Linked DNA regions of Lepisosteus oculatus. The protein of the gene in region 2 interacts with the protein of the main gene of each other region in a pairwise test. Links are inferred from orthologs where the notes say so. Each region holds a gene or a part of one and is shown on either strand. Other genes may lie near its edges. The genes, in order: kansl1b, traf3ip1, kif5ab and smc3.

The links.
Region 1: the proteins of traf3ip1 (region 2) and kansl1b interact in a two-hybrid assay, tested with the Homo sapiens proteins (2 studies listed by IntAct). The link is inferred for Lepisosteus oculatus from reciprocal best matches to the Homo sapiens genes TRAF3IP1 and KANSL1.
Region 3: the proteins of traf3ip1 (region 2) and kif5ab interact in a two-hybrid assay, tested with the Homo sapiens proteins (2 studies listed by IntAct). The link is inferred for Lepisosteus oculatus from reciprocal best matches to the Homo sapiens genes TRAF3IP1 and KIF5A.
Region 4: the proteins of traf3ip1 (region 2) and smc3 interact in a two-hybrid assay, tested with the Homo sapiens proteins (2 studies listed by BioGRID and IntAct). The link is inferred for Lepisosteus oculatus from reciprocal best matches to the Homo sapiens genes TRAF3IP1 and SMC3.

The regions. Positions count from the first base shown.
Region 1 is NC_090723.1:7,954,428-7,962,305, forward strand, and holds the start of kansl1b (KAT8 regulatory NSL complex subunit 1), read right to left. Parts: upstream 3,019-7,878; 5' UTR 2,974-3,018; intron 1,034-2,973; 5' UTR 907-1,033; intron 1-906. UniProt on the Homo sapiens protein: Non-catalytic component of the NSL histone acetyltransferase complex, a multiprotein complex that mediates histone H4 acetylation at 'Lys-5'- and 'Lys-8' (H4K5ac and H4K8ac) at transcription start sites and promotes transcription initiation.
Region 2 is NC_090707.1:21,566,737-21,574,628, reverse strand, and holds the start of traf3ip1 (TRAF3-interacting protein 1), read right to left. Parts: upstream 3,019-7,892; 5' UTR 2,886-3,018; coding exon 2,763-2,885; intron 154-2,762; coding exon 85-153; intron 1-84. Other genes in the region: agr1 (anterior gradient 1), read left to right, coding at 7,721-7,820.
Region 3 is NC_090696.1:18,011,369-18,019,286, forward strand, and holds the start of kif5ab (kinesin heavy chain), read right to left. Parts: upstream 3,006-7,918; 5' UTR 2,515-3,005; coding exon 2,386-2,514; intron 1-2,385. Other genes in the region: dctn2 (dynactin subunit 2), read left to right, coding at 5,628-5,663, 7,807-7,875. UniProt on the Homo sapiens protein: Microtubule-dependent motor required for slow axonal transport of neurofilament proteins (NFH, NFM and NFL). Can induce formation of neurite-like membrane protrusions in non-neuronal cells in a ZFYVE27-dependent manner.
Region 4 is NC_090699.1:39,758,910-39,766,773, reverse strand, and holds the start of smc3 (structural maintenance of chromosomes protein 3), read left to right. Parts: upstream 1-4,848; 5' UTR 4,849-5,075; coding exon 5,076-5,090; intron 5,091-7,864. Other genes in the region: dusp5 (dual specificity protein phosphatase 5), read left to right, coding at 1-67. UniProt on the Homo sapiens protein: Central component of cohesin, a complex required for chromosome cohesion during the cell cycle. The cohesin complex may form a large proteinaceous ring within which sister chromatids can be trapped.

The DNA.
Region 1 (7,878 bases), on a different chromosome or scaffold from region 2:
TGCACTGAAGCAAGTCCCACTCCTGTTGCAACATTTAATTATTGTAACACTCCTGTTGCAAATTATTATTTTTTTACTAATAGAACACCATCATTTGGATATATGTAGATCTCTTTCATTTTTTTCTTTACAGCTCCAATCGGTTCTGAGTATTTTTAGATCAACGAGAATGAATGCTTGGCTGCTCGGACTTCGGATGCGGCATTAACAGAGTCCCCGAAAAAAAGACGTACAAATAGTAGTAGTTGGTGCAGAGTAGCACAACAAATGTAAGCAATACTACCTGCAAATATATATAGAAGGGGTCCCCAACAGGGAAATGCAGTCCTGGACGAGGAGGGCTGGTGTGAACATGAGATCAGCTCACTGACCTAAATTAGCCCATTATTGGCTTAATATGAGCAATTAAACAATTTCAGGTGCTGGGGTCTCAAAGAGATCTATAGAACCTGGAGAAACAGCAATCTAGACATGCACTTGACTGTAATGGGGGGGTGATTTAAATTTCTAGGGGGGGAGGGAAACTTAGTTCTGCCGACAGGGGATTCAGATGTTTTCTGGCCTCTGGCATTCTGCTGGCGCTCAGACACGCGTCAGAAGGAATGGAGCCGATTCGTTCTCCGAGCAGGAACACAGACGTGGACAGCAGACCCAGGTGCGCTTTGTACTCGAGGGGCACGGGCACTTGCTTGGGCCAAGCAGATCAGATCAAGGTAAAGCGCTATCGAGATGAAAACTTAACTCCAAATCATTCTGTAAAAAAGGACAAACTCTGTGACCTGGAAATTAGATCTAATATGTACACACGCGATGGTTTCCATAAGTACAATCATCTAAGCATTTAAACTAGAATTTAAAAGTTGCATGTAGTTACAGTGTGAAAAGAACCAGCACTCAAGAACTTACCTGTGAAGCTTTGGGTTCATATTTTCATGGCCCCTTAGCAAATACAAGGCCTTTTCCAAGAAGGTTCTCCCAGGCCAACCCATCTCGCCAGGCAATAAATCCACGGATCCTGATGGAACCAAATTTCCTAAGATCGCGGAAAGGAAAGAGAGTTTCAGTTTTGAAGTCACAGGAATGCTGTCACAACTTGTTACCATCAGTGATGAGGCAAACTGCAAGCTGCAAACGTTAGATAAATCAGGACCACCTGAATCTTGTACTATGGTTTCAATTCAGTATCATATCCATTCTTTCTTGTGCACACAGGGGGATGAACAGATCGCCAAGCCCAGCCCTGTTCAGATACATGTGTCAGAACAGCCGAGAGATGTCCACTCCAGCAAAATCAATACTGTACATATTTTGGCCAGGATTTAACACCATTCAGGTTCAATCTGTATGAAAAGAAGTCACAGAAATATCCACAAAATTGGTTTCTGCAAACCATGAGCAATGATGAAAGCCTTTATCATAGAGCACCCTGTGCAGAAACTTCCCATAAAAAAACCTCTCCATGGATAACGCTTATTATACCTGTTCAGTTCTCTTCATCTGTCCTCTCAAAACAGCATTACTGAGAAATGACATTTTTACTGCAGTTTGAAGCTCTTATTTTATTTGCTGTTTTTATCTGAAGATTCTCTCACTTGTTTTGTTTTTTCAGAGGTACAAACAATATTTTTTGTTTCGATGTATCACTCCTGTTGTGCAAATATGAAAGAGGTGGGATCATATTCCTGGTTATACTGGTGTGGCTGTTGTGAAGTTGCTAAGGCCTCTATTACTTTAATTTTCTCAAATCAAAGTTCCACAATTCTTTCAGATAATCTACGATGATCACACTTATTGGCCTCTGGCCTCAAATACATTTTCAAATGAAATTAACTACTTTCTCGTTAGTCTATTAATACGTTAATTTTAATTTAGACTACTATTAGCATCACACAAACAGTACTACACTTGCAGTAATATAATTGGACGAAAATGTGTACGTTCACAAACTGTAACACCTATATATTTAATACTGTGCAATGAATGAAACCGTACCAATTATGAAAACATTGTAAATATCGAAAATAATTAAAGGTGCCTAAAACGAATGTTTAAACGACTTCGTGACGATAACACGCAAGACATAATATCTATAAATATTACACTGTATTTAGAAAAAAAAACAAATATAACAATAATTTATAAAAGAAACATCAAAACGTAGAAATAAGCGTCGCATTTGTATTTTAAAAAGTCAAAACAACTGAATAAAAGAACGTATTATATACCCGTGGTTACAGTCTTAGTTGTATTCTTTTAATAATATTCATAACTACTGGTTAACGAATTTCTTACGAGCTCTATTTTGAAATTAGGAAACTGTACCAGGCAAAGTGCTTCTTTTTGTTGGCCTTATGCTTTTCTTTACAATTTCAGATCATCTTCATCATTATCCTCCTCCTCCTCCTCATAACAGGAAATAATGATCGTCCAAGTTTGAAAATAATTCCGTACTTACTTGTTCAAGACCCTGGAATTTATGCCTGACACTAAGAACTCCTTACGCTTGTGAGTTAACATCGTTCATTCTTGCACAAAATAATGTTACACCGTTAGTACATCTGGCCTGTGCGTCCAGCTTTTTCTCCAAATATTGGCTTTACTGCTTTCACAACAGTGCATTTTGTCATTAAACTTGACAGATCTTGCGCAGAATGTCGATATTGTACATGTTTTCTCGTTCATTTACTCCAGCAAAAGTTTCATTTCTTTGTAATGATTCATTGTCTGGACATTATTTGTACTGCTGTACACTAAACCACTATTTTGGCCTGTTGACTGTTACCAGAGCAAAGAACTCTCTTTATGCAATGCTGTGCAATTTTAATTCAGCTATCCTACGTACACAAAACCTGACCCTGCCTTACCCTTGTCGTTATCTTTAGTAACAGCAAACGTTTTGTTTCACAGTGTTTCTTAAAAACCCTTATTTTTTTAAAACAATATATCTTGAATCTGCAATCCATGTTCACTTACCTGCACAATTCAACCAGCCTTGAAGCGAAATCGCCCACCCTCTGTGCTTTCTGATTGGACAACGCAGCGAGAGCGGACAGTCTATTGGTAGGCAGGGCTGTCATTCGTTTCGGAGAGGCGTATGATGGAAAGTGTCTTGAATTGAAGTTTGCAGGACTTTTGTTTTCGCAAATGAGAAAGCATGGGTGTTGTTTAACGGGGTAACCCAGAATTTTAACAACACTGTCATTCGTACACTGCACTGTCTTCCTGCCCACAGCATCACAGTGCCTGGTGGATTTTAAGCACGATTCAACTGTTTTCATTGTCGTTCCTGTTACACTCTCTAAATGTACCGTCATAGTGCGAGAGCATTAACACCATTTTTGGGGTACTCGTCTGTGAATTTGGCTTCATTAACTGATACCCTCAGGGTTAGAGGAGTGTTGAGCAGAAAAGGCAACATGTACTATGCTTTATATGTGATGAGACAAATACATTGACAGAAATCAAGCCATCTTTTTAAAATTCAAAACAACTCCCGTGTGTTTTGAAAGGGATTAAGACTGTTTTGTGGAGACCTCAGGGTAATTATATTCCACTTACATAAAACATATTACTATTATGCTGTACTGCAGCATCAACTCTAAGCTTTTTGGTAACTGAAAATAGAGACAGGAGCTATCCAAATTGTGTATGAACACTAAACCACAGGAACAGAGAAGAAGCCTTTATTAATAGCTGAAGGAAATCCACCACTTTTGTGTTGGGGCTTACATACACCACGCTAGCTTTTCAATTTGCTAGAGCAGGGATTACCAAATGAGATCTTCAGGGTTATTTTGTTTCATTAAGTTGTAAAGAGCTCTTCACCTGGAAGATGTGTTAAATTAGTTCAGGTGGGGAGCTGCGTCAGCATGCATCGGCTGCAAAGGAACAAGTATTGGGTTTATTCCCTGCTTAAAAGAGAAGAAAGAAAACATCGATTTTGGCTGTGGCTGTCCCGAAGAAGGCTCCACAGCCGAAACGTTGTTTTCTTTCTTCTCTTTTCAGCAGGGAATAAACCTGTTACTTTTTCCAGATGTGTTAAATGTTCCAAATGAAACTGTAGCTGGGCCAACTTCTCCTTCCTCTTAGCCTAAGCTTTTGACCATATAAAGATGCACAAAAACCTAATAGATTCTAGATCTCAACATCTAGAACTGGGAACAACTGAACTCCTTCCGCCTCTTCAGCACATGCTTCTGTAAGGAATCGAAGTATGCATCCATTTTTCACAAAGCCTAATTGTTAGAGTATTGATATAACAATGGAGAGATCTTAACTAGCTACTCTAATTTGTGTTGCAAAAAAATTCACGATTTGCTGCCCCATTTATATGTGCAAATTCCTGTAAATGTCAAAGTTAAATAGCCCTCTATTTAAAATTGGTCTCTTTTCTTAAAAAAAAACAACAGCAAAGCTGTGCTCCATTCCCCTAACAAAATACGGGGTGGTGAAATGTATAAGGGATGCAGTTAATGTTAAAATGCAGCTTGTGGTCTGGGCACAAATCAATGCATAAAATGCCAAATGTTTCCCACATAGCTACCTATCAGAGTGAAAGCTGACAGGGGAATGACACCCCAAGGTTGACCGGCAATTACAGAAGGCAGGAGACTTCCAGGGCTTTTTCATTGAATTTACAATTCCATTGCTTCAAATCGAACCACTGAGCTTTGGAGAAAAGATACATTGAAGCATTCCTCCCTGCAGTTGTTTTACAGTACGTACAGCAAAAATGTAGACTACTGCATCAGCAGGGACGTGATGACATCAACGAATTTCATAAGATTTTCCAGTCAGCATCGCCAGTTTCCATCTACCTGCTGTATGCGCTCGTAAAGCAGAAGACGTAATAAAACGCTGTTGTCTTGTGAGCTTTCAGCTAAATGAGAGAATTAGTTCATTTGAAACAGCTCCCTTTCCAGGGAGCCTGGCACACACAACAGCCAGCATAACGGCCAGCCTGGCTTCAGTGAGAACACACATGAATATTAGTGTGCAGCAGAAGATGAGCTGAAAGATATAAAAGTTTTGACGCTGTGGTATCAATGAAGAGGTGCATCATTAACTGCATCATGAAATATTTCATGCTTGCTTTTATGAGATTATAAATCCGTTTCACTAAAGTGTCAAATTACAACAGAAAGGGGAACGGGTCTGACTGAGACGTTTCGATTTTACAAGCCAAAGACGTGAAGGGAGCAGCTTACCTGCTTGTGCTTGTGTGGCACAGAGGGAAGTCGCAGAGAAATACTTTTACAAATTATACTGGAGGCAATTACAAAAACAGGACAAGGAGGGTATATCCCGCAATGTGCACAACAGAACACAGCTTGTTAAAATGAAACGTTGTTTGATCTAGGGTCGTGCAGATATGGCACAATACCATTGGTTGCCCGACAACCAATTACTCAATCGTGCTAATCCAGCACAAAGCCCATTTAAATACGGGCAGAAATAGGATTTTTCCGAGTTTGAAACTAGAACCCAATGGCTCCTGGTAAGGAAATCACACAGTTGTAGAAAAATAACAGATCATAGCCCCCCAGTTTTATACACAAGGTCCAGCAGACGACGGCTGATGAAACTGACCTGTTGACAGGACTGTGGGTGAAGGAGTAAAAATCCAAACTATCCAATAGTGATAAAGTTCAGTAAATCCTCCATCTGATGGATAACAATCCAGTAGAGATCTTGCTACACGTACAGACTAATGTTTCCAAAATAACCACAGGGGATCAGTGGTAAAGTGAGTAGTAATTTATTATTACAATTTTATGTAGTGCTTTTAAAAGCAGCTACTCAAAGCACTTGCTGTAAGACACCAATTAAACAAAAAGCCATTCTGAAGATTTCTTTAAGTCTGAATCAGAATATGCTCCCAGACACCAACTCTTTGTTATCCTTTGGGTAGAATTCCAGAGCTTTGGGGCACAGCAAGAGAACTGTCACCCACAGAGCGTACACAAGCTTGGATACTCCCATTAGGAAACCTCTGCTCCAAAGAGACCAGCAGAATAAAAACGAAACATCAGGCGACAGAAATGAAAAAGTGGGTTGATCAAACCTGAAGAGAGTGCAGACGAGTCTGAGTTTGAGCTGTTTGTCAGGAATCAACAACAGTTTGTTCAATGGTGGACTGAAGAGCCGCCGCGTGCATCAGTGTACAATAAGTTGTAGTAAAGCATGGTGGTGGATCAAGTGTGAAGCTGTATCTCAGCAACGGGTGACAAGGATTGGCAAAAAAAAAAGTCAAAGATACCTTAACAACCAACAGATACAAACTTTGAGCATTCATTAAGTGATATGGTTGCCGGGGTACATCTTACTACAATGACCCCACACATCCAGCCGATGGAGCAAAAGCCAAATGGAATATGAAGAGGCTGATGGAAGACTCATAAGGCTGCCAAGGCCTTCCTGATCTCATCGCAGTCTTATGCAGTTACCTGTGTGCTGACAAAGTCAAACAGCAACCATAGCACATGGATGGACTGTACAAAGTGTTAAAAGTCACAATTCTTCAATGGATTGAAAAAATGCCAAACTATATAAAGGGCTCATATACCATGTTGTGAACAACACTTATCGCAGATTTTTATAAGTCTCCCCAATTTAATACCCACTTTATAATGCACTTTAAAATTGTTTTCAAAGTTCAACATTGTTTGCAATTTTTGTCTCTTCTTTGCGATAATGATCCTCTTTTGTTGCCATCTTGAAGAAATTCTCCAGGAGTTCAAAAAACCCTTCAGCTTTAGGTTCAAAGAAAGCATTAAATATGTTGAAATAAATTGGGCTTTTGAAAATTTTAAATAAAATGTACAGTTTTAACTTCTAAAACTTAAGCAGAATATAGTCATTTCATATTGTGTTCTTCTAACATGTAAATGAATTTAAAACATGGTCTATCAGTGTTCTAAAATCTAGGAACCCAATCCTTCCTTGTATACAGTATCCCATAGTCAAATATATAGTACCTCAGCCAAAATAGTTAAAATGTAAAATGAAACTAAAGTGTAAAGTGCACCCAATGACCAATTGTAAGGCTTTGTTCAAAGTAGTTTATTCTGTATTTTTTCACATCCTTAAAATGAATTGCAAATATATATTAACAGAAAGACTTTTGTTTCCCTAAGACTGTACAATTCCAAAATAAGAAAAAAGACACCAGTTACACTTGTAAAATGCAAAAACAAAACGTTGTATGCAAAACTCATTCTGCGGAATTCAATTTAAAACAAGTATTTTCTTAGAAGCAGACTCCATCGCCATACACGTCCACCATATTCCAGTCACTTATGCCTGACATTGACCTGAAAAATGCAGTTTAAATACTGTTTTTTTTAAAAGAAGAATTCATGTCTGATTTAAAACAAAAAAAAAAACAGCAGCACAATTTTGGAACGGCTTGAAGCAAGAGATGGACAATTGTATTAACATAAAGGAATAATGAAAGCTGTAATAGTATCCTTTTTTACACTAGTCATTAGTAATAGTAATATTTCAAACCTGTCTTCTATAAAAAAATATGTATAACAAGGATTACTTGAAGGTTTGGCATATTTAATTCATAATAAAGTTTAAGTGTCTTAAGTGTGCTGAATGCTAGTTCTTACATTACTTTATCGCATTATAAATGCCCACTTCATCTTACACAAGCAAACAGAAAAACATGAAAGCAATATTCTTCCCATATTAACATGCAGCACTTCTTCCAAATCTCTTCACAGAACCTCTTGAGCATTAGCATCTGGAGGTCTGCGGTCTGCACAGACTGGGCGTCTGCTTAGCATGACTCGCCACACCTCAAAACAAGATGACCAATGAACAATCCCAGTGGGTCTCCAGCCAACTTTGGCAAAGTCAATGGAATTAGGA
Region 2 (7,892 bases):
AATAAGTACTGATAACTGCAATTTATTTCTGTTAATAATGTTCCTGAACTAATGTGAAAGCTAAGGTTAATAAGACCACCTTACCTTGACATTGTCTGATTTCGTTTCTACCTCCGAATAAAGGCCTTTCATAAACCCAGTGGTCCTTATTACCTGTGAAAAACAGGATGGATACAGTTGTCCAATTATAAAATGAAGCCGGTTCCAGAATGTTAGGATTTTGGATCATTGATTATAAACCAAATGAATGAATAAATAATAAAAGAGATCAAGCTTTGAAGATCATACAGGTTATATTATTAGCGGACTGTCTTATGTAATTTGAAATGTACAATTTCAAATTTATATTACATGAGTTTACTTTCATTTGACTCCCCTAACCCTACCAAAAAAGTTTGAAAATGTCACAAACACTGAGCACGTTTGTCACCAAATGTGCACAAAATAACCAGCACATGCCACAGGTTCTCTGTTCTATGCAGACTACAGGCCTGGGACTGCCTATACAAAACATGTTGTTTAGGGAAAGGGTAAAAATTTTTCTAAAATCCAGATGATTGAGAACAAGAACAAAAATCTGGGACTGTGTTCCATGCATACATCATTTTACAGTTCTTGAAAAGTAAACTGCATTGTTCACAAGTGTGTCTAATATACGTTATATGTTATACTCTTGGCAGATCAATAATCTCCTTCTTCCCACTTAACGTATGCTGCATACAATGTCATTCCTAATTTTTTAAGTTCTTCATACAAGCTCAGCCTCCCAGGATAATCTTAGCTGGGCCTTGCTTCAATCTGCTATTTTTAAGACGAGTCATCTGGCTTTACTTCTATCACGCAACAAAGCAACTCTTTGAACAGGCTCTCTGAATCCCCTGCTCATGTAATTTTTCAATAATTAAAATATTCCGCAATTAACATCACTGATTTTGTTTCTCAAATTCAAACAATGATAGGGTCACTGTTCCACATTGTGAAACAGAGCAAAAAATAGCAAAGAGTTTCAGGAAGACATTTGTGATCATTTAACGATGAATGATGATGATTTGAAGACCTTAATGATTGGCAAGATGCTAATTATTCATAAATATGAAGACACCACAAGTCGCGTATTAACCTGTGAACATTTTAGAATTAGCCATGGTAATACAACAGTAGCACAGTTTTACCATGACGTACTACCAAAGCAGACTTAATATTATCACGACCATAAACTTGATGAACAATGATACAAAAACAGAGAGAGCAGCAAATATAGACACAGTAGCAAAAGAAATACGAAGAGACAAAATCATGGGGTAAACAGATACACAGCAAATCAAATTTAAAATAAGTGCAGTTATTCACACTGCTACAGTAATAGGATCGTATACTACATACTGTATATCATACAGGTGAACTGTCGGGAGCTACACATGAAGGGGTTTTTAATGTAGACACTTCTAAGCAATGACTTAATAAAACAAAGTTGATAAAACAATAAAAAAGCAAATTGAATCCTTGGTTTTATATTAAAAAGTGCAGAATTTAAGAAAATATCTACTTATTTTTTTTAAATGCACTACAAGGACCTCACTTTACAATTGCATTTAGTTTTTAAAGTCTTTCTAAGAATAATTCCTACAATCAGGGCTTTATTATACAATAATGTAGGGAGCAGAGATTGAGAGAAGATGCAATTATAAAATGCTGTATATAAAATGTCAAGGGTTAAGCCAGGAAATTCTTTCTCAGTATTAAAATAAGGACACAGGGAATTCATTGAGAATGGAAAACAAGAAACACTTCTTAACACAAATGTTGTTGGCTTGTGGAACAACCTTTTCAGGTTAAGGTTAAAATATTGAGCGCTTTTAAGAAACAGCTAGACATAAGAAAAGTTACAAACGATATAAGTCCTTCTGGTTCATCTAACCCATTTGCTAATTAAAGAATTAATTCATTCAAGGATTTATCTAGCCATTTCTTGAAAGATGTAAAGGGTAAAAGCATTAATCTCTGTACAGATGTTGCTCCTAATAAAATAATGCTTTGCTAGACCAAATTGTTTGAATTATCAGTAATAATTATATACTGGATTTGAGCGACACAAAGTAAAATAATCGTTTTGCTAACACCTCAGTAATATTAATTAGCGACACTGGCACAATAAAACAGCACAAATTATTTAGCTACCATTTTCATGACACAGCAGGACAGCGATTAATGTAATGTGTCCTCTGTGGGGACACATTACGGGATTAAAACCAACTGCTATGGAACAGAAAACTTTTTTTTTAAATAAAGGGTAGCGTGACGGAATCAAACACCGGGCAGAAAATGATGAGGTATATTTGTATTTTACGGTCCTGTATTTAAATAACTCATCAAGGCCTCGCATTGTTTAGTGTACTTGAGCAGAGACCAGTGCCTAGCAACCAGAAGACGCCAGTTCGATTCTACATCATTCAGACAGTTCAGGTGTTCACCGCATACCCTTTACAGCATTTACACTGAAACCGACTATTGTCCGTTTTTTAAAAAAATACAGTTATTTAGGTTACATCAGAGAACTTAACTGCATTTTTTAAATTTTCTGCAGCTGAGCCTTTACTACTCTTTATTCCTGAACAGCCTCACCCCAAACTTAGTCCCACTGAAATGCACTACTCCGAAACAAACACACACAGACCAGAGAAACTCCTCCTTGCAAACAAGCCACGGATATTTCAACAAATCCAATTTTTCCCGTTGTCAGTCATTGCAGTTCTGTTTCTCACCTCGGTGAATATATCATGCAGGTAGCGGAACGGCGGTTTACTAAGCAGTTTTTCAGTAAGAGGCGGCTTCTTAATCACTTTTCCCAAGGTATCTTGGGTCTTCTTGGTCACTGACGCGTTCATAGCAGCAGCAAAGCAAGACAAACGCCAAAACAAAAGTCCTTTAGGTGAAGACGAACCGAAAGAAACACTTCACCACATAAATTCTGCAATCACTGGGCTTTCAGTACGTCGGTATCTTCCGATCCCACAATGCATCGCTAAACCTAGCTGCGCCTGCGCAAGTGACGTATGGTTGTCAAGCGAGGCTTGCATCCTTAGCAACAAGTAACAACTGAAATGCAAAGAATTCCAAAGGCTCTTAGAATTGGATCGTTTGAGGTCCTTTTCTAAAAACCAAAATATCTGCAGGGCATTTATAGCTGAAAAATTAATTAAATGTTCATGGTTTATTTCATTCTTATTTTTAAGTTATTGCTATTGATCAATGTTTTAACACTGTTTTAATTCAATTATTACTAGAACGTTTCACTGAATTTACAGTAATGGAAAGTTAATGAACAACTAAAGCTGTTAGCACTGACAAAATCCCTGTATGAGTTTGAACTTGATCTTTATATGTTCTTGTGCCAAATAAGTTATCAAGAATTCCTGATGAGGAAAAAAAATCAACACCCCTTAATCTGAGTTATAGACATCATTTGAATTTTTACCATATGGGATAAGAGTTTTTGTTATTCATGTAGCAAAAATCCTTATATAAAATGTACTGTAGGAGATTAATAACAGAAAAGGAAATAAAACCAAGTTTGAAGTAAATAATTCTAAAGTAAAATAATTGCTCTAGCACTAACACAAAGCCATAGTTTTTTGTACCTTTATCTAAAATTAGGAAGTATAGATAAACTGTAACCTAAAGGTGTCTGTGAAGAATGAGATGGAAAATAAGGAAACCATTTTTAAAACTTGAAACTTGTTTGCATTTTTCTTTCAAAACATTTTAAAAACTAATCAATCAATCAATCAATTACCCCCATCTAATTAATGAGTTTGCATGTTTGTAAAGGAAATTTATATAGAAGAAAGCTTAAACAATATCAAGTTAAAATCTATAATCTAAAAAGTCCCATATATAATGTATAAAAATGATTGACGCATTAATTGTCCAGTATAGAATATGTATTTCAAGTTCTAATATTTTGTTCTGTATTCTTTCTTTTGTGAAAACCTTAGTATTAGTAGCTAAAAAAAGCTTTTATAGAAAAATATACTGCAACTATAACCACAATTATATAGAATTAGAATCACCTTGGTTTTTTTTCTCATTTGCTTTGTTAACCAACATTTAAAAAAACATAACTTAACAGTTCATAATTACACATTGGATATTTATCTCTCCCCATTTAACTCTAACAAAACTGTGCTTTTTACAAGAGCAATCTTTACAGATTAAACTTCTTCATGTTCTCTAGATTCCATCAATGGAAACATTACTCCAATTTCTCTACACAAAATCTTCAATAACCCCTCAAGCAATTTATGTAAACTACTTTGAAAGTAAGCAGCACATCACCATTAATGTGCTTTAATGCAGAGATCCTGCAGCCACTCCTAACTTTAAACATAAGAGTTTCTTAAGGTAGTAACAAGGATATACCCTGAAACAGGAATGTCTGGTGAACCATTTAGTTTATCTTTCACTTTTAAGATGATTAAGTGTGGAAGCTTGTTTGTTCTTCTGTACGGGGATCCAGGAAGTTAGAAATCTTCATAACTAGATTATTGCTTTTACTGATCCCATATAATTTTTAAATTCATTTTCATATGAATAAAGAATACTTAACACCTACTGTAATATCAGAAGTAAAATCTAGAATGAACGCTTTATAAAGTATTGTGGATCTCGGAAAACATCATTTTTCATTAAATAAAGTGCCTAATTCATAATAACTGTGAAGTGAGATGGCTGCATAAAAATTAACACTTTTATGTACAGGGGCTGTTTGCGCATAGGGGCAGCAAAGTGTCACCCAGGTGGGTGGTGCAGGTCAGTGATGGATGAAGTGGGCCCCTTCTCTGTGAAAAGCACTCGGGATTTCTTGGAAGGAAAAGGTCTATGCCAATTTAAGCACATGTTGTTATTATTAAGTTTAAATTGATTAGAAAATAGTTAAACCCTGTGAAAGACACAGTGATAAAAATGTTCATTCATAGCATATAGTTTATAATACTACTTAGTAAATTGTTTCAATAAAAGAACATACAGTAGGTGAATATAGTTGAATAGGTCTTTATCAGGTGTGCGTCAAGATGACTTGGTTGGACACACCCAAGGGAACAGATGAAAAGCGTGCTTACAGTTGGGGAGCTTGCTATAGCTGATGTGCACATCTCTGAGTGGTTAGGGTATACTAAGCAATTAAGGTCTTGTTGCATTCAGGGGATTATGAAACACACCGTTTTCTTCGTGAAATGTGTACTTTTTGTTCTATTTGCTGTACATTTTCTTTCTTTTTTGTTTAATGCTTTTTCTGAAAAAGATTTATGGTTTCTGAAACTGTGTACCACTAAGTAGCACTGTGTTTTGTCTAGGCGTGCTTTCAATCACATAACAGGATGGGAATATGGAAAAAATGCTGGGTTATGAAGTACTGTATATAATGATATTTTTGTTTTTAAAATAATAAATTACAAAAAAACGAATGCCAAAAGATCACTAGCTTGTTAACACAAGGACGTCAGGAATAAAAAAAAGTGAGAAATAGAAATAGTGGAATCAGTTAATAAACAGAAGCACGTTGATTGCTTTTTCTCTCTCTTTCATGCCAAAATTGAATAAAAGTGAAATGATTTAATAAAAAGTTAATCAATAACATACCTTAAAACCAGGTATTGATTTTTAAAAAATCTTAGCTACAAAAGGACAATAATTCCATAAAAAAAGTAAAACATATACTACAGAGTGAGTCTCATCTTGTACTTTGGTGCTGTACCAAGATGTACTTTAATACAGGTCTTCAAGCATAAAATTCAGAAGTATTGTTATTGTGGTTCATGAAAATTTCTAGTATCTTGTTTGTGTCATCATATTTTGCTTCTTAAATGTAGATGAATAATGAGAAAAAAACATTGAATAAATTATTGTTTTTAATAAAAAAGTAAGTCACTAAATACATTGATAGTTAGATCTTTCTCATTAATTTTCCTGAATACCTGAATGCCAAAGATGTAATTTAATTTCAGCGTTCAAAACTAGGTTCAAAACATAGATTCATTCCCTGTGGTTTCCTACAACCACAGGTAGGTTTAAAATGAGTGGTACTTAAAAAATTTAATTTAGATTAAAAGATTGAATCATTTCTGTTAAAAAAATACAGAACAGTAAAAATATATTATGAAGAAGCCTTTCTCCACCTATGATTAAAATCAATGGGATTAAAATTGGGTTTAAAGGTGCAGTATAAGCATTTATGTACTGTAAGTACTTCCCTACCCTGAGGCGTGTTTGAATAGTGTGTTTCAAAGATAAGGATATCCTGGTTTGTTATGCCTGACGTTCAAGCTTTGCTACACCTGTTAGATGAGTTAGATGACTATAAAAAGAAGGCTTGTGAGGTAAGAATTCAACGAACATTCACTCACATTTCAAGACAGCAACAGGTAAGAACGAAACTTGGCTCTTTCGTACTGTATCTAGGTGATTGAAAAAGTTCAATCTTTGAAACAGATTTATCTGCTTGGTAAATATTCTTGTAGAATACTTAAAAGCAGTATTACTCATCTCTAGTCAACCAGGATTATCATAGAATTGGTTTTACAAATATATTTGACTAATTGTCAGCATTAGATATAGCAAAAAAATAAATAAATAAGTGATTAATAATAATAATTGAGTAAAGAAGGGAATTATTAAATTGAAGAAGAGTTAAACTTAATAAATAACAGCTCTTTGTAATCCCCACAAACTGGAGACAAGTGTTCTAAATCAAGCTAGTCCACATGAGATAAAGAAACCATCACTAATTCAGAATTTTGCTGTGACATTCCCCCAGGAAAGTAATTCTATATTTGCTATACAGTAGCTGTCAAAACGTCAGTATAGAAAAATATAAACCAACCCTATTGGAAACCAAAACAGAAACAAATAGATGGAAAACATTAGAGGGTGGACAGATCTGATGTAAAGGGGAAACATGCAACTTAAGGACATTTTTTACTTTTCTCAAATACTGTTGTGTCATTCTATTATATGAGATCAATTATAACAAAACGAAAACTAAAGTATTACATTTGTAAAACGCTCACACTTTGTGCTAGAAATACAGTAGGAAGAGATTCTCTCTTAAAACAATTGTGTTGAATCTCCTCCTAGAACAGGTTAGTCCTGAAACAGGAATGCTAAAAGACAAGATTGTGGAAGTGCAAGCAGTATTACATGGGACTGATATTTCTGATGTCTTTAAAATTCTGAAATATATGCTTCAAAAGGGTTTCAAGGGCTTAGGCAATTTGATGATTCATTGATATCTGGTTCAAGTGTTATAAGACAAACTCGGGAGCATCTTTAAAATGTAATGGTACACAACAAAGGTTAAAATACTGTATGAAAGGCAGGATTATAATCTATATTATTTAAAGTGGAAAGTTTTGTATTTGAAATCAAACTCATTTTTATACAGTAGTTTTAAGTACAAGTATATATAGCACTAAAATCTAAAGTATCATTTCAAAGTAAAATGGGTGTGTTAATAATTGAAATCTTGATTCAAAATCCAAACAGAATTATTTCAGAAGACATCTAGAAAAAAACTAGAATGCATCTACTGTACATGTACATCACGAAATTGTTTCGACTGTGCCATAAACAGAGACCATTAAATGCTGCTAATTGTGAAATTTTAAAATGTTGAAAAAGAAATAGTACATGTATTAATAGTAGATCTGTCTTTTTCAGAACTATGAGTCGCTCCTCTGTTCTTTGTATCCTGCTTGTTGTAGCAAGTCTGGATGTATCTGCTCAAAGAAAAGCAAAAAAGGTCCCTCAGACCCTTTCCAGGGGTAAGTACAGCTCTTCTAACATTGTGAAATACAAATCTTGGATAGTGTGAATAATTAGGGTTTGGAATCCCA
Region 3 (7,918 bases), on a different chromosome or scaffold from region 2:
GCTTGTGAGCACAACACAACAGCCACAAAGTGAGCTCAGGCTGCACACCGCAAACGTCTTCAAGGAAAAGTTTTTGATGTTGTACTCCAAGTCAAAACAACCAATGAAGGAAGCCTCTCAGTGCTTAGGAAGTACAACTCACGAATGGTAATTAGCTCTGTAGAACCAATTAACCAGCACAACACAAACAACACAGAAGGCAGACATTAGGTCAGAGACAGACCCGGTCTGTTCACAGATAACCAATGAGCTGCAGGAGGAAGCTTGACTGGCCAATCGGAGCTCAGGACTCTCAGGAAGCGGAGATGCTGCTCTTGTCAGGCTGACCACATGGATCCCCAACAGTGGAGGCTGTAATCCTGGGGTGCACATTCCCCCTTGGTGGGGGGGGGTCTGAGGGTGCCAGACAGGCCAGGTTGGTTTAGAAGGTAACATATTGAAAACACAATTTCAACACAAGCACTTACAGTAAGTACAATGGCTTTGTTTGATCAAACCTACGTATTTTAAGGTAAAATCTTAAGGTGGAACTTGAAAAAGTGTCATTTTGAATGTATTCATTTTACTGCAACATTAAATATACATTTCTAAAAAACGTGTGATTTTTCATGTACTCTTAATTTGACTGTGAAGTTAAAATAAATGTATAAGTGCTTTGAGAACCCACCTTTAAAGGCGCTATATAAAATAAAGTTTATTATTATTATATTATAGAATTCTCTTTCACTCTGCAGTGATGCTGGTAGTTTAGGTTTACAGGACTGGCCATCTTATGAGGTTCATGATCAGGGGAGTGAGACGAGATCTCGGGAACCAGAGGGGCGCAGGACTACGGCACAGGTGAGGAACTGCTGCCCTGCTTGCTAAGGCACTGATGGGGCCACACGAGTGCCTGCGCACAGCCGATAGCAGTGATCCCATTCCGTGAAAGAAAAATGAAAGCGAGTGCGGTCTTCAAGGGCTGGGGTGCGTGAAAAAAGAGAAAATTAGACGCAGACGCATTTGACCGAACTTTACGAAGCTTTAATGCTTTCCTTGCCGCCGACAGCCCTGCTGCTGGTGATCGTCGCAGGTCGGCGAGTAAATGAAACAAAACTCATCTATTCATCCTGCATCTCACGACAGGCGGCGCCTCGCCGCACCTGTCCAGCCGTATTTCTGTGTCATTACCGAATCTCCATTATATACAGGATATAGTTATTTCTCATTCTATAATGACCATTTATTTTAAGCGGATTTAAAAGCAATGGGAAAACGGAATGGGATTCATGGAATTCTGGTTTACAGATTTCGTATGGCAGGAAAAGCGACCATTAGTAAAAGCTTTCCCAAGAACATGCCACTTCATCTTATCGACCCGGCGGCTACTAATCACGTTTCCGAGGGAGGCTCAGCGACATACACTGGGATTGTAATGGAATATTCTGCTCGCCCGAGTCCTCTCGGGCCGGTGGATGATCACGTGCCCCAGCAGGCGCTGCTGCACCTAGAGGTGCATAGCAAACTGGCTTTTATTCTCCCCCAGATGTGCCCTTTCATTGCAGAACTGAGCGCTCGACTGGCCCTGCACATTTATTTGACTTTGATCGATGCGATAGTACGAAGGTACGGGTTTCGCCGAGGCGCGCGCCGACTGTGATTACATTAAACTGCCTCGCAGCCCAGTGCAGAAAGACCTTTCCTGACAAGGCAAGTCGTCCTGCTGTTGTTTCCGCTGCTTTTATTCTAAGAGAGAGAGGCGGTTAATTATTCTAGAAATGAAATGTATAGAATCGTAATGAGAACACTAATGCAAACATGAAACTTGTTAAATTCCCCAAATATTTTCGTTATCCCAAATGCACAGGTCACGCACTCCCTCATTACCGTACTGCAGTGGATAATATTCAGTAAACACTAGCGCACTCATAAAAGCTTAGACCCGCAGCGAACGTCCGGGGTGCTGCTGCACTGTAATTACTGATGTTTGTGGAGCCAAAAACATATTCCTCCGTGTTCTGGGGTGTGGACAGCGAGGTCTGGCGTGTTGACCGCCCATCCGCGTAAAATACCACCAACTGAGATCAAACAAACGAGGAAGCAGCGAAACTAAGTCCAAATAAAATGTCATTCTAAACCTTATCGAGAAAGCGAAATCCTTGAACGTAAGGTAAAAAAACAAACCCCGTAAAGACAGCAGAGCGATACCGGCACAAATGATTCAACCTTAAACCCATAACATCGCAGGGCTTTGGAGCACTGTACTTGTTTATTTGTAGGTTTTAAGATTCGTTCCCAGGCAGGTACAAAACACGGCACACCGGACCCTCCCCGGCGGCGTCATCTTTGAACAACAAACATGACGGGCAGCAAAAAGAAGGAAAAGGCCGGGAAGGGCGTACCTACCCCAATGATAACCGTGTCATCCCCGCTGAATTTCGGGATGAATTTATCTCCTCGCACGACCTCGGCTTGATTCAGCGGGCGAAAGCGGCACAGCACTTTGATATTGCATTCTGTGGAAGCATCGGCCATTGTGACGAATTCGGATGCGCTTTTGGAGACACTGAAGAATTTTCCTGGTGTTCTGGCCTTTTGTAGGTAGATCTAAAATCAAAACAAAACTGGGAGACAAAGGCTTTGTCCGAGGGTGCGAATTCCCTTTAGAACTGCAGGAAAAAATATAATCGGAAAAGCGAAAAATAAAAAAAAGAAAGCCGAGCGCTTTATTGCATTGTCTACAGATTTTGCAAACAGGCTACACCGTGGTGTATGCACTACCGCGTTTAAAAACAGGATTTTCGTACTGGTCAGCTAGACATAAATATTGGTATCGACGTAAATCCCTTTGTTTAAATATGTAATTAATAAGAATAAAACCCGGACGGATTCTGGCAGGTCTGACTTGAAAATGTCGCTTATGAAAGGGCTAAGACGGAGCAGGTTGGCGCTACAGTCCCATCCGAGAACATCAAGCAGAGCACTACGGCAAGATAGCGCTGCAGCAGCACCGCCACTCCGCGCTTTATGAGGCGCGGGGCGTGTCCTGGCTCTCCGGCGCGGCCGTGCGCTCGCATCAGCACCACTCAGCGCCGCGCGGGGGGACGGGGGCGCCTCGCCGCTTCGCTGTTCGGACACAGCGTTGTTTGGACACGGAGGGGAAAGAAAAAGGACGGACATTTCTGGAAATCCGTCAACATGCTACAGTCTAGTTAGGCCTTATTGCCGCACTTTATTCGATAGTATAGTGCATGATACAGAATGCATTTTCAGAATTCCCGGTGCTTTATTATTAATTATATTATATTAATTCCCGGTGCTTTGTTATTAATTATATTAATTATTGGGCTGAGTTGGACAACCCGACTGTTTGTCACTGGTAGATGCAACCTAATATTGCTCCTTTAACGGCTAAAATAAATAAATACATGTTAATATAAGAGTGAGAGTATTTGTTTTAGGCATTATTTTAGGGGGAAAAGTCGGGGTATTTGCTACAACTTCCCAATCATCTGAGATCTAAAAGCTATGAGCCACATGGTCCGGGTAGCCTCCCTGCGTTTGTAACCTTTTCTGTGTCCGTAAACAAACATCTCGCTGCGGGTGACGCAGCACTGGAAAACACAAACGCCTGAGCCCCCACTGTCGGCCCCCGAGTCCGGGCGATTGCAGGAGCCTGCGGCTGTGACGTCACAGCCCGAGGTGGTGACTGGGCGCTTTCCCTTCCTGGAACCCGACCCACGTGGACAGGGAGCGCGAGCATCGATCTGGAATCCGGGAGGCGTCAGGCAGAACCAGGAGTGGGAGGGGGGAGGAGGAGAGAGGAGCCAGAGTCCACGAGCGGTCCGTGCAGCTGGAGAGACATTTACTTTCTATTTCATTTCCTTACACCTGCGTGCCCTTTCACAGTTCCTGCAGCCTGTGCTCTGATCACTTCCACGTTGCTTGCTATCTACCAGGGTAACCGCACTCCCGAGCGAAAAGAATGCAATCAGTTCATTAAAGGCACGTAGGTCTAGGCAGATCTCAATGAATAATAGGAGGGAGGGAGGAGCCCAGCAGCGTCTGATGTCTGTTCAGACTCATGGTTTCTGCATGTTCCTGTTCGAATATTGATACAAAACATGCTGCCATGATGACAACCGGCGTAATGTCTGCTTGCTTCTTCTGTATAAGCTTTTTCTGGACACTCCACTCGAAGCGCTTTACAGGTAATGGGGACTCCCCTCCACCACCACCGTGCAGCCCTACCTGGATGATGCGACGGCAGCCATAGTGCTCCAGAACATTTACCACACATCAGATATCAGTGGGGAGGATTTTTAAAGACCACAAATAGTCAAGACCCTGGTTTTACGTGTTATACGAAGGATGATGCCCTTTCACAGTATATTGTCCACATGGACCGCAGGGTGAGCGCCCCCTACTGACCCCACTAACACCTCTTCCAGCAGCTTCCCCAGGAGGTCTCCCATCCAGGTACTGACCAGGCTCACCCCTGCTGAGCTTCAGTGGGTTGTGAATTGCTGAGTGATAGAGCCGCTGGCTATAAGAGGTTAAAGGTAACTAAAAGAGAACAAAAGTGGAAATAGAGAGAAGTGATAGCCCCGATAATAAACTACAGTACATATTCAAAATCACAAGCTAAAGAAATATTAAAACATATAGTGTTGCAAAGTGAGGTGTCTCTAAATTAGATTTCCAAGGGTTTTGGGACTTCATTCAAACGGGACATTAAAATGGATTTCAGTATTCTCAAGAAACTGATTACTGTACTGTTCCCTTCAGACTGAACAAAGCTGAAATTCAAGTTTACAGATTCATTCTTAGTCCCATTACGGCCATAAACGTTGTAGGACTGACGATTCAGCATTATTTGGCTGGAATGGGGGACACAATTAGACCATTTGTTCTGCTTAATCTGCTCTAGATATACTGAAGTTGTCCCTGCACTAAAACTTAATGTTCCATTCTTAAGTGGTTTCCGGGATTATTAGGTTTTAGTTTTAAGGCCGCTGAATTGGAGTGTGTGTGTCTGCTAGTTGATGACGCCTCAGACAAATTACAAACACTGACATGAATTTAACGTTTGTAAATATTATTACTGTCATATCAGCAGAAGCAGATGTGACATTGGTACCACGTTTTTTTGGTTTTGAAAATCGTAGCAATGGATTTTGAAGTATTCCGAACGAAACATGACAATACTGTAAAGTACATTGAAACATCAGCTCCACCAAGAGGCAGTTTTTGAACTGTGGAGACTAAAAATAAAATCCATACAGATTAATACGCGTGTTTTCCGTAGATTTGACGGAAGGCCACAAAACTCGATACAGTACAGTGTTTCGGCAAGGGTACACAAAACAAACAACACTTCCCACAATCCCTTGAGGTATCGCATTACCTCATCCTTGTCTCGTCTCGGAGATAGGATCACGCGAGAGCACCGGCTTCTCGCTCTTTGACTACCCTTAGGAGCTGTCAAACCCAGGGAAAATAGCAGAAAGGCGTATTGTGTTGCGAAGGCCTTGTTATTATTTTACCGAAGGGAAACCTAAACCCTGTACTTTCGCTTGCAAATAGCCGTCGCCTTAAAAGCCGCACTTAACCGTCTTCTCTCTACTGGCGCTGCAGCCTCAGCAACAATGGCGGATCCCAAGTATGCTAATTTGCCAGGCATTGTAAGTAAAAAAAAAGACGGGATGCTGTATACCTTTATAGAACAATGAAGTGTTAATCTACTAAAAGCGGGTCGATCTTTAAGCCATAGATGTGCCGGACGGGCGGTGGGGTTCGCCAAAAAGGCGGGTTGCTTTGTTATTTTGTGTTATAAACCGCACCCCAGTTTGAAAGACTGGATTCACGGGTCCCACAAGTGACACTTGACGAATAATGTCGAGAAGCGTCCAACTCGCTGTCTGGGTTTGTCGTGACTCAGTAAATCGAGACGACCGTTTTGTTGTCGCCTGTGGGAGTGGTAAGGTGGTGATTTTTTCAGAGTTGGTTTACCGGGTACCCGTGGCGCCGGTGAATACCGGGCAGTTTCAGGAGATGGCGATGGGGCCGATGGTGTTTTTAACGGCCGAAAAGCGTTGTTCCATCAGAACCGTCACGTCACACCTGGGAAACCTATCTGCCCACCGGCGAGGTGGTAGTAATGGTCTTGTGTGTGATTGTCTGCAGCCATTCAGGCCTGCTGGTGATGAAAGCGGATTTGTTTTCTGGGCGTTGGCTGTGCTGAGGTCCGGCCAGCAGGAAAGTGCGTCTTTAAAAGACCCAGCAGCGACGTCGTGGCGGGACAGGGGTGGGAAAGTGCAGGTCACCCCAGTCCTGGTCCTGCTGGCCCCCAGTGAGTGTCTGTAGATGCTCAGAATCTCTCTAAAGCACCCAACGAGTTGGGAGTAATAAGTTGATCCACTGAAGACTGTAACCAGTTGGTTAGCTTAGAGAGCTGTAGTGCAAACCCGAAGACATACTGGTATTCCAGGACCAGGATGGCCAAACTTGTACATGTTTGTTCAGTGATCGTCCATTACAGGAGAGCAGTGATACTAGACTGCAATCTGAGAGGGTTGGTTAAGGTGGCTGTCCCACAGTTGTAAGTATAGGGTTCTCAATACCCATACTGAAGACCCCCAGGTCTTGGGCTTCATTGCAGTTGAGCCCTGTATTTTACTGAATCGTGAACTGAGCCATCAAGGTGCTTAATTAGAACCCTTGCAGGTTTGTTTCTTCTTTTTCTTCTCATAGGTGGAAGATTTTAACTTTTACCTTTCTTGATGATCTTAAAAGGCAACCTCCTATGCGATTAGGGGCCGAAAACCAAGAGTTAATATGAAACCTGATATCGTCAGCTGTAGGGCTCAGTTATTCACTCGAGCGTTGCGAGGGAACAAAAACCAGCAGGTGTGGGGGTCCCCCATGACTAACATAGGGACCCCCTGTTGCAAGACAAAGGGTGAACTGCATCACCTTAACTGTTATCGTTGAATTCATTTTTTGTAATCTACAAAACTGACTTGGGGAAAAAAAAAACAGTTTTTCGGCAATGGGCAGACATTGCAGCTCTTTGGCTTTCCTACCCTGGTTCTGGAGAGCCCATGTCCTTCAGGCTTTACAGTACAGGCATCTTCAGAGGACACTATTTTCATTGAGAATAATTAAGACAAAAATAGGTTCAATTTAAGTGACTGGCTGCTTTGTTGGAATGAGATCCACAGCGCAGATGACCTACGTTATCGCATACAGGAGGCCCATCATATCTTGAACATGTAGTACAGCTTGTTCCCCACTAGAGTGGTTTATGTAAACATGCAGAACAAATTAAAATTAAAATCCATTCACTAGCAAATCTCACAGATAAACCAGAGAGATATCAAGTCAGCTGTTCTTGGAGATGGGGAGAACAGAGACTATAATGACCATTACTGTCAGGCAGTGGGGAAACCTGAAACCAGGACTGATCTGCACCAGGTTTGTTAGTGCAGGAGAGGGCTTTTGAGAAGGTTGTTGGAATGACGTAATGACCTCTCCCTGACAAAACAGATGACTGCTTACTGTGCAGCAGAAATCCTTGGTTCCTGACCTGAAGAGCCGCAGGATCTTGTCTTATTTTATTCTGCCTGAGCTCTTAATGATTTCACTGAGTGAGTGACTTAAATGGTCTGTATTATAACAGTGTTCTGTCCTGTGTGACCCACGGAGGGTGTAATTTCCTTGTGAAAGCTGCAGAGCTTTCACTCTCTAGCGCCAGTGTGTGAGGATCGCCGTGGAGCAGGAGCTGGGTGGTTATTAAAACAGACAGCGTTTCCTTGTTCTTTCCAGGCCTCCAACGAGCCCGATGTGTACGAGACCAGTGACCTGCCGGAGGATGACCAGGCCCAGTTTGAATCGGTGAGTCTAGTGGTTCTGCACCCTGACCCCGGAGGACCATTCC
Region 4 (7,864 bases), on a different chromosome or scaffold from region 2:
GACTCCTGTGCCGATCCAGTCAAAGGTTCACCAGTTAAAGTTGAGCCCGATCAGTGCATTGCCTTAACCTGAAGGCTGACGTCTCCTAAGATTACTTGAAAAAACAACAACAAGTCCACGAGCTCAGATCCCCCCTCACAGACCCTGAAAAGGGGTGATGGGAGCGTGGAGGAACGAGAACTTTCTAAGAACGGCAACTGCAGGGCCAACAATGACGTCGTTGCTGTCGATATCCATCCTCATCTCCACAATGAAAAACAAAAGACAGTGATACACTGATGCTGCCATCTTTGATCTGTATTGTGATATCAAGTAGGAAAATCGCCTTACTATGATGATGTGAACCTTATTGTGCTCAGAAAGCCTGTGCAAAGACAAGCAAGTTTTATTAATTTATTAAAATGTTAAATTACGTAATAACTGGCAGGAAGTAATTATACTCCATGCCTTGTTGGTCTTAAAAGTGCTTTTTTAAAAAAACAACAACAAATATTTATTTTGCTAAAGACAATGACGTGGAAATGCTAATAAAGTAATTTGCCAAATGGGACATGGTGGTGTTGTTGTTTTCTAACTGGGACTACACAGAAATGAAAAATTAATCTGAATGAATTAACAGCCTTGGCAATTGAAGTAAACAATCACTTAATTTTGAAGAAGGCTCACTTATCCTGAAGAGGGCTTCACGGCCGAAACGTTGTGTTTTCTCTCTTCTCTTTTCAGCATGAAATAAACCTATTGTTCCTTTGCAGACAATGCATGCTGACGCAGCTACCCACCTGAATCACTTATTTTATTCATTCTACAACTCACACTCAGGTTATCAGAAAGCTTTTTCCTCAGAATCCTCCCTAGGATGGTTTGTTCCTTTTATAGATCTAATTTAAATGTATTCTGCTTGACACCCTAAAAAGGCAAGCCAATTGTTGCTGCATTGAATGCATGTCGCAGTATTAAAAAACAATCCTGTAGTTTCTGGTTGTTCTGAGGATTATTAGCTTACTAGACCACTGGCTTATTGCAAGGCAAGTAAAGTGAGTTAAACATCTGCACACCTGATCTCTTTTACAGGTGCATAGGAAACAATCACTGACAGAAATAAAATGGAAAAATTCATTCGTGCTGTGCTTTGCATATCTCACTTTATTCCAAAAATAGCTTGCATTTCTGTTTCCAGCCTTTAGCTCTGCGTGCTTTTTTTCTTTCGTATTTCCATAAAACACACAGACAGGCACAAAGCAAAACAGATAATTTAAGCAAGAATAATACAGTATGTTCAGTTATTTCACTGGTGCAACTCCGTGTGACTCAGACATGATCCCTTCGCAGCAAAATGACACAAAATGAGGTAAATGATCCCTTCTTGTGAAAGAAACCAACACATACAGTCTATAAATGGTCAAGCACTGATAGCAACCTAGTAGCTTACCAAAATACATGCACAACAAAGACATCGAGAAAAAGAAACGTTAACCTTAACATACAACTTAGCAAATAAAAAACAAGAGGAAATTAAGAAGGTCAAGAACAAAGACGATTCTGAAACCGAAGCAAATTTGGGTATTTTATTTTTCGTTTTTATTAATTTAATATTGATATCAACTTAACAAGGATGTAAAGAAGTGAAGAATGGAATGTGTTGCTCATATGCATGAATTGGACACTAGCACATTCTGATTTTTCAGAAGGCAAGGTAAAGTCAAATCTTGTCTTATAAACTTCACCTCTTGGTCACTCTGATAAAGAAAACGTGCATCGAAACGATTTGTTTTCCTGCAGGACACTGATAGAGTAGGTCTGGTGTTGTTTGTGTATTAAAACAGCTGCGTAATGGAGTGGAAAATTAATAGTTTTTTGTGACTTAAAATGTATTTTGTAAACTGCAGAAACCTAATAACACTCCATGGAATATTGCCCACAGCATTCCTTAGACAGAAACATATTATTCCAGCAGCACCTTTGTAAAAATAAGTATCATAATCACATATCCAGTTTTGTTTCTGGACAGAAAACTAATCATTTTAAGGGTGTTCTCTAACAGAATTGACCTGTGGTAAAAAGCTTTTTCTTACATCTGTAGGTTCGGAAATTCTTTGGTTTGCAGATCTTTTGACTTGGTTTATTCCACGACACAAGCCAAATTCCTGATTGTGATGATTTACACTAGAAAGGAGAACACTGACGTTTGAGATGACATAAAAGTAGGTATTGTGGATTAATGATGTGCTGCGGGGTGTGAAAGAAAAGAATACAATGGGCATGTTCAGCCCTCCTTCAAAACTATGCAATCAAACTGTAGATTGTTTGTGTCCTGATCTGTTTTGATATTTTTCAACATTTTCCCATTGACGTTTACCTAGAAAGTCACCCCAGCCCACAGACAGTTACGTACGATTTGCTAAATTGCAGTCTGGTCTTTCTCTAAATGTCATGCCACTTTCATTTGAATCTGTGAAACACTGTGCTGCTTTTGCAATCTATCAGCACAACAAATGGTCACATATATCACAAAGTCTAAATGTAGAACTGTTTGACAGACAAAAGCATCCTATCTCTTCCTCAGAGCATGTCCAAGTCACTGTGAGATAGACCTAGTCACAAGCTTATTTATGCTGTTTCTGTGAAAGGCTTTTATTTTCCTTATTTTTATTTTGCTTTAATGATAACTTATTCCTTTATCATCAAACAAAAAAAGCAAACAGTGGCATTTTTTAAATTTCATTTTTGTATAGTCATGATTTATGCTTTTTTGGTTTCGTGCTCTAATGCCAGCTGTGCCAGTGGAATGCTTCTTTACATTAAAACCACCTTGAATCTTTCATTTAATGTCAGCTTAAAATGAGCATCTTGTCACCCCCCTGAATGAGCATATGGCCCTTCCCAAACCCATATAAAAAAAACTGCAGTGTATGTGCCTGCTCTGTTTTGTGCTTTGTATTCTGCTGCATGCATACCTGGGTTATACCCATGTAGTGGCTGTTCTTTTGAATATGGCAGTGCTACTATAGGGTACAGAATGTACTCACTACCACAAGCAGTGGATTTTGAAATACAAGTTCTATGGCTTTAAAAGGGTGCTAATTTACGACATCAGTGCCTTGTACTTTCATTTAAAAACAAATGTGAGATCATCTTGGTAAACTTTATATGCATTATCCCAAACTTTTGGTTTTTATTTTATTTTTGCTCAGTGGTAGGGGACCACTGCTGGCAAAGATGTTGGATTTACAGAGAAGAGAACATCTGCAGCAATCTCCAATGTAGCGCAGCAATAATGTTAGAGACTAGGGGTTGTCGGCGTGGGAAACTGTCAGTCCAGAAGATATATAACACCCTTTCCAAACTCCCTCGGAGTCCACTTGATTGTTCATAACACAACCCACCTTTTCGACTTTAAGCATGTGCTTAAATGCGTTAACAATGAAAAATAACTCTAGAATCCCATGACAATGAAACATTCTCGATGAAACGATGTTAGATTTGCGCCATATTAAATACCTCTCTCTTTAACTATGTTAATTTGTATGTTTTCTAGCCATTAATTTAAAATGTGACGTCTGACATTTGTCATCTTACAATACCTGTCATTGTACTTGAAATTTCAGTAAAACGATTGGACTTATTAAATCTTAAATCCAAATCTTGAAATATTTGGGTTTTACGGCGTTTATTACACATCTAAGACAAAACTATTACAATCTGAGAACAGTAAACAGCGCCACCTGCACCCTAGTCCTTATACTTTTGCAAACGTTTCCTTTCACGTTTAAAGCCAAAATTGCATTGACAGGAAAACGGTTTTGACAGAGATCCTTAGAATGTAGTTGCAAGATACAGTAGTTTTTTTTTCAATTACTCTACACATCAGGCCCTCAGTATTTTTGTAAAATAACATTTTGAAGCAGTAGTTGCAATGGAAACGACAAGACTTTTGGATGGAGTGGGTAACAGTCGGCTAATGTAAACAACACTTATTAATATATTTTCATTGAAAAAGCGTCTTTCGCTCTGCATTTATTTACAAAATGGAACAAAGTTCACACCACTTTTTCACGGCAACCTTCAATTGCTTCTACATGGCCAATGGCTTTATAGCAGATACGGGGAATGAAACGTCCTCAGAGCACATCTGGTAGCCTGTTCAAGGTTTGCTGTCGGTGAGGAATCATCCGTGTTTATGTAACGTCTACCTGCCTGATTTGTATTTTTTGTACTCATTTTTCTTTGGTCTAGAATTAATATCAGCATTACCCATCTTTATTAGCCCGCATTTATGTTTTTGTGTAAAACGGACGTACATAGGTACACATCACATTGATTACAAATCAAAACTCTGTAATCCGTTCGGGTTTTTTTTTACATTGGCGGGAACGGGAAACCTAAAGTAGTATCTCGCTGCCAACAAAGATGGCTAAAAATAATCCATAAAATCACTTCACGACTGTCGACATGTAAACAATGTAGATAAAGAGGATTTGTAGTATATCTATCACCGCATATTAAATGTCTAATAGTAAAATGTAGTTTAAAATAACATTGAATTCAGTTATACAGTATCGACTACAGTAACGCAGTTGAACACACCTCAGACTCTGCAGCTTTGGCGCCGAACCTTTCACCTTATGTGGTGCATACCAACTGTCACACATAGGGTGGGTGTTAAACACTAATGACGAGAGCTTTTCTTTAATTAAATTTCATAAACTTAAAATGATATTCTGGAATCATACAGAATTATTTTTGTTTACAAATATTATTGACGTCCAGTGTCCGCCATGCTTGGTTTCATAATTATTTAATTTAACCGACCTCCCCTACACTGGACAATTCAAGCATACCCAATTTGCTCCCTCCTCCTGTCGCCATCTTGGTGCCTGTTGTTTCTGTGTTTTCATGGGGGGGGAGAGTTTGCTTTTTCCGAATAGTTTGCTTTAAATAACTTCATTCTAACCATTTATTGATTAAAATTGATAGCTTTTCGCTCCTTCCATTCGGTGGAAGGAGAGGAATTTTCCAGTTCCCTATCGTCTCGTTGATTTGTCTTTTGTGAGGGAAAATTACCTGGGAATCCGAACATGTACATTAAACAGGTACAGTAAAAACTGCTCTTCTTCTTTGGTGGAGAAAAACGTATTCGAGAGGGAAATTAGAAACAACGCCTTTCAGATTAGACAGAGTTCCTTTGCCTTTGTAGCTGTTGGTGACTTGAATAAAATTGTGAAATGGTTAAAAATAGTTGCAACTTGGGCAATGAATGAGTTGACGTCCGTGTTTACAAGCCTTCATCGGGTAGACGTTGGAGTTTCTGTACGTCGGGTTTGAGCCTTGAAATACGACGGGAATACTGTAATCTTTTTTATAAAGGGGTAGTATGTTGCTTGCTGAACCAATATTGTTTTGCAACCAGGAGTTCGTCAGCTGAAAGAAGTAGGCCTCAGGCTATCTAAATATCTGCAGGAAAAGGGGATTTTTTCAGAGATGAGTGCTTAAACTAGCTTTCTTAGATGGCGAGCTGCTGCTGTTGTTGTTGATTCTCTTGCTGAACATTTGGCTTGTGATGTTTCTGTGCTGAATGACGTAGAACGATGGGAGCAGGGGAGAGGGCTGTCACATTGTGTGATCCGGAAAGACAAACGAACCGAGGAGAAAGTTCAAAGGTCCATCCCGCATCCCAACACCACCGGTGTTTCAATCTAAATGATTTAAAAACAAGTTTCAAATCTTAAGAGTGATTTGAGGTCCGAAAGTCTTCAAGTGCTTGAAGTTGCAGCCTGTGTTGTATCTACCCAAGTGTGCAGTTTCTTTTGCCTAGAGGCAGGTTAAGCAAAAGTGGACAGTAAACCCCAGCTCGAAATGAATACTGTTAGCTTTACCTGGGATCATACTTGCAGTACGTAGGAGGTTTTGCTCCGAACGTGACTCTGATATCGAAACTCATCGGTAGTAGCTTGGTAGTTGATAGAAGCGATGACTGCATTGTGTTTGTGTGGGTGCTTGTGAGGGGGTTCCTGGAGTCCATGAACATCCCCCAAACTGCAGCTCAAGGGTGATTTATGAAATTCAGCAACTATTGTGCTGGAGTTTGAACCATACTGGTTTTAAACATAAATGCCGCTTGCCATTTTGGGTGCCAAAGAAGCAAATAAGAAAGTAAAAGCAAAAGCAAAGTGTGAGATAAAGGAAAAAAGAATTCAGAGCTACAATTTCACAGGTTACAACAACATCCTTTTCAGAGAGAAGAGGTAATCGGGGAATTGAACATGGGGTTCAACAGATAGTGTCTCGGACAACTAAGATAAGATAAGATCACTTTATTGGCCATATACAGTTTCCTGCATTAGGAATTCATCTTTTTGCATACCCCAGCTTGCTCTCCATGAGACACAGACACACAGACAGAGAGAGAAGCTTGGTGTCAGAGCGCAGGGTCAGCCATTGTACAGCACCCCTGGAGCAGTTAGGGTTAAGGGCCTTGCTCAGGGGCCCAATGGAGTAGGATTCCTCTGCCGGCCGTGGGATTTGAACCGGCAACCTTCCAGCCACAGGCGCAGATCCTAAGCCACAGAGCAACCGCTATTTCTATTTCTATTTGCACTATTTCTGATACACATGCTTTTACCAGTGCATGTTAATACACACACACATTTATTACATAAATCAAAGAAGTAGAAATCTCTAAAATCCTATGGTTTTTACAAAAATCTCTATAGTGACAACGTGAGACACCTGATAGTAGACGGCAAGCATTTCCACCAAAGGGAAGCTAGATGGCTGATATAATGACTTAAGTCAACTTTTCTATGTTGAATAAACCAATATGTCTGGATTTTCTGAGAGAAAATACAATTAACACATTTCATTTAGCACAGTTTTAAGTATATAATACTTTGCTTTATTAAGTTATTGAAATGTTATTATTCATTATTGAATTATTATTCATTTTTGTCATTTGAAATATTTTAAGTTGAAAAATTGAAAGACTGTTTGCCTTTAATGGTTGGTTTCAGAAATTGAAATTGAAAGCGTTCTAGAATTTAGCATAATCTCTATGCAATATGATGGGTGTCACAATTTCTCCTGAATGTTTATCTTTTCAGGGTGGTGCTTAAACACTGACAATGCCTGTAAGATAAGTGTCTTTCCCCCCTGTGTAAATTAACCAGTTGTTTAGAAAACTATAGAAACCCAAAAATTGTAAAATAATTTTTAATTATAGGTGTGTTTGAAACATTTTTTCTTAAATTGAATACACATAAAGTGTATTAATAAATTGTGGAAACTAAGACCTGAGTGTTGAAATTAAATGCCTGGTTCAGTAAATTAAATTAATCAACAGCTCTTTTGGTACAAAAAACATAAGGTGCTTGGTACACTAGGACAAAGGCTGGAGAATTTCATCTAGATGTCTCCACTAAAAGTGCTGTTTTCATCTTCCTTCAGTAATTACAGCTTAAAGCACATGAAGTCATTCTATGTGGCTCATAACATGCAGTGTCTTGAAATTAACTATATTTGAATTGCAGATTTGATTTAGTTCTTTGTTTATACGGGTAGTAGAAACTGATGTAGAGGTAAGGATTTGAGATTGTAGCAGTGTATGAGAACCAACCTGGGTGAACTTCCAAAATTATCTCTACATTTACTTTACCATAATCCCTGCTCCAAGAGAGCACCTTTTCAGCACCTCCCATTAAATCATACATTTAAAACATTGCTGTGATCAGTTAAACAGGTGACAGTCACAGTAGTGATCTGACAATTAGCAATCTTTTAGAAGAAAAATGTAATGACCCTTGAGTTTCCAAGGGTTCTTAATTGGTATAAATCTTAATAAAATCAATTCTTAATTGAGAAATCACTTGAC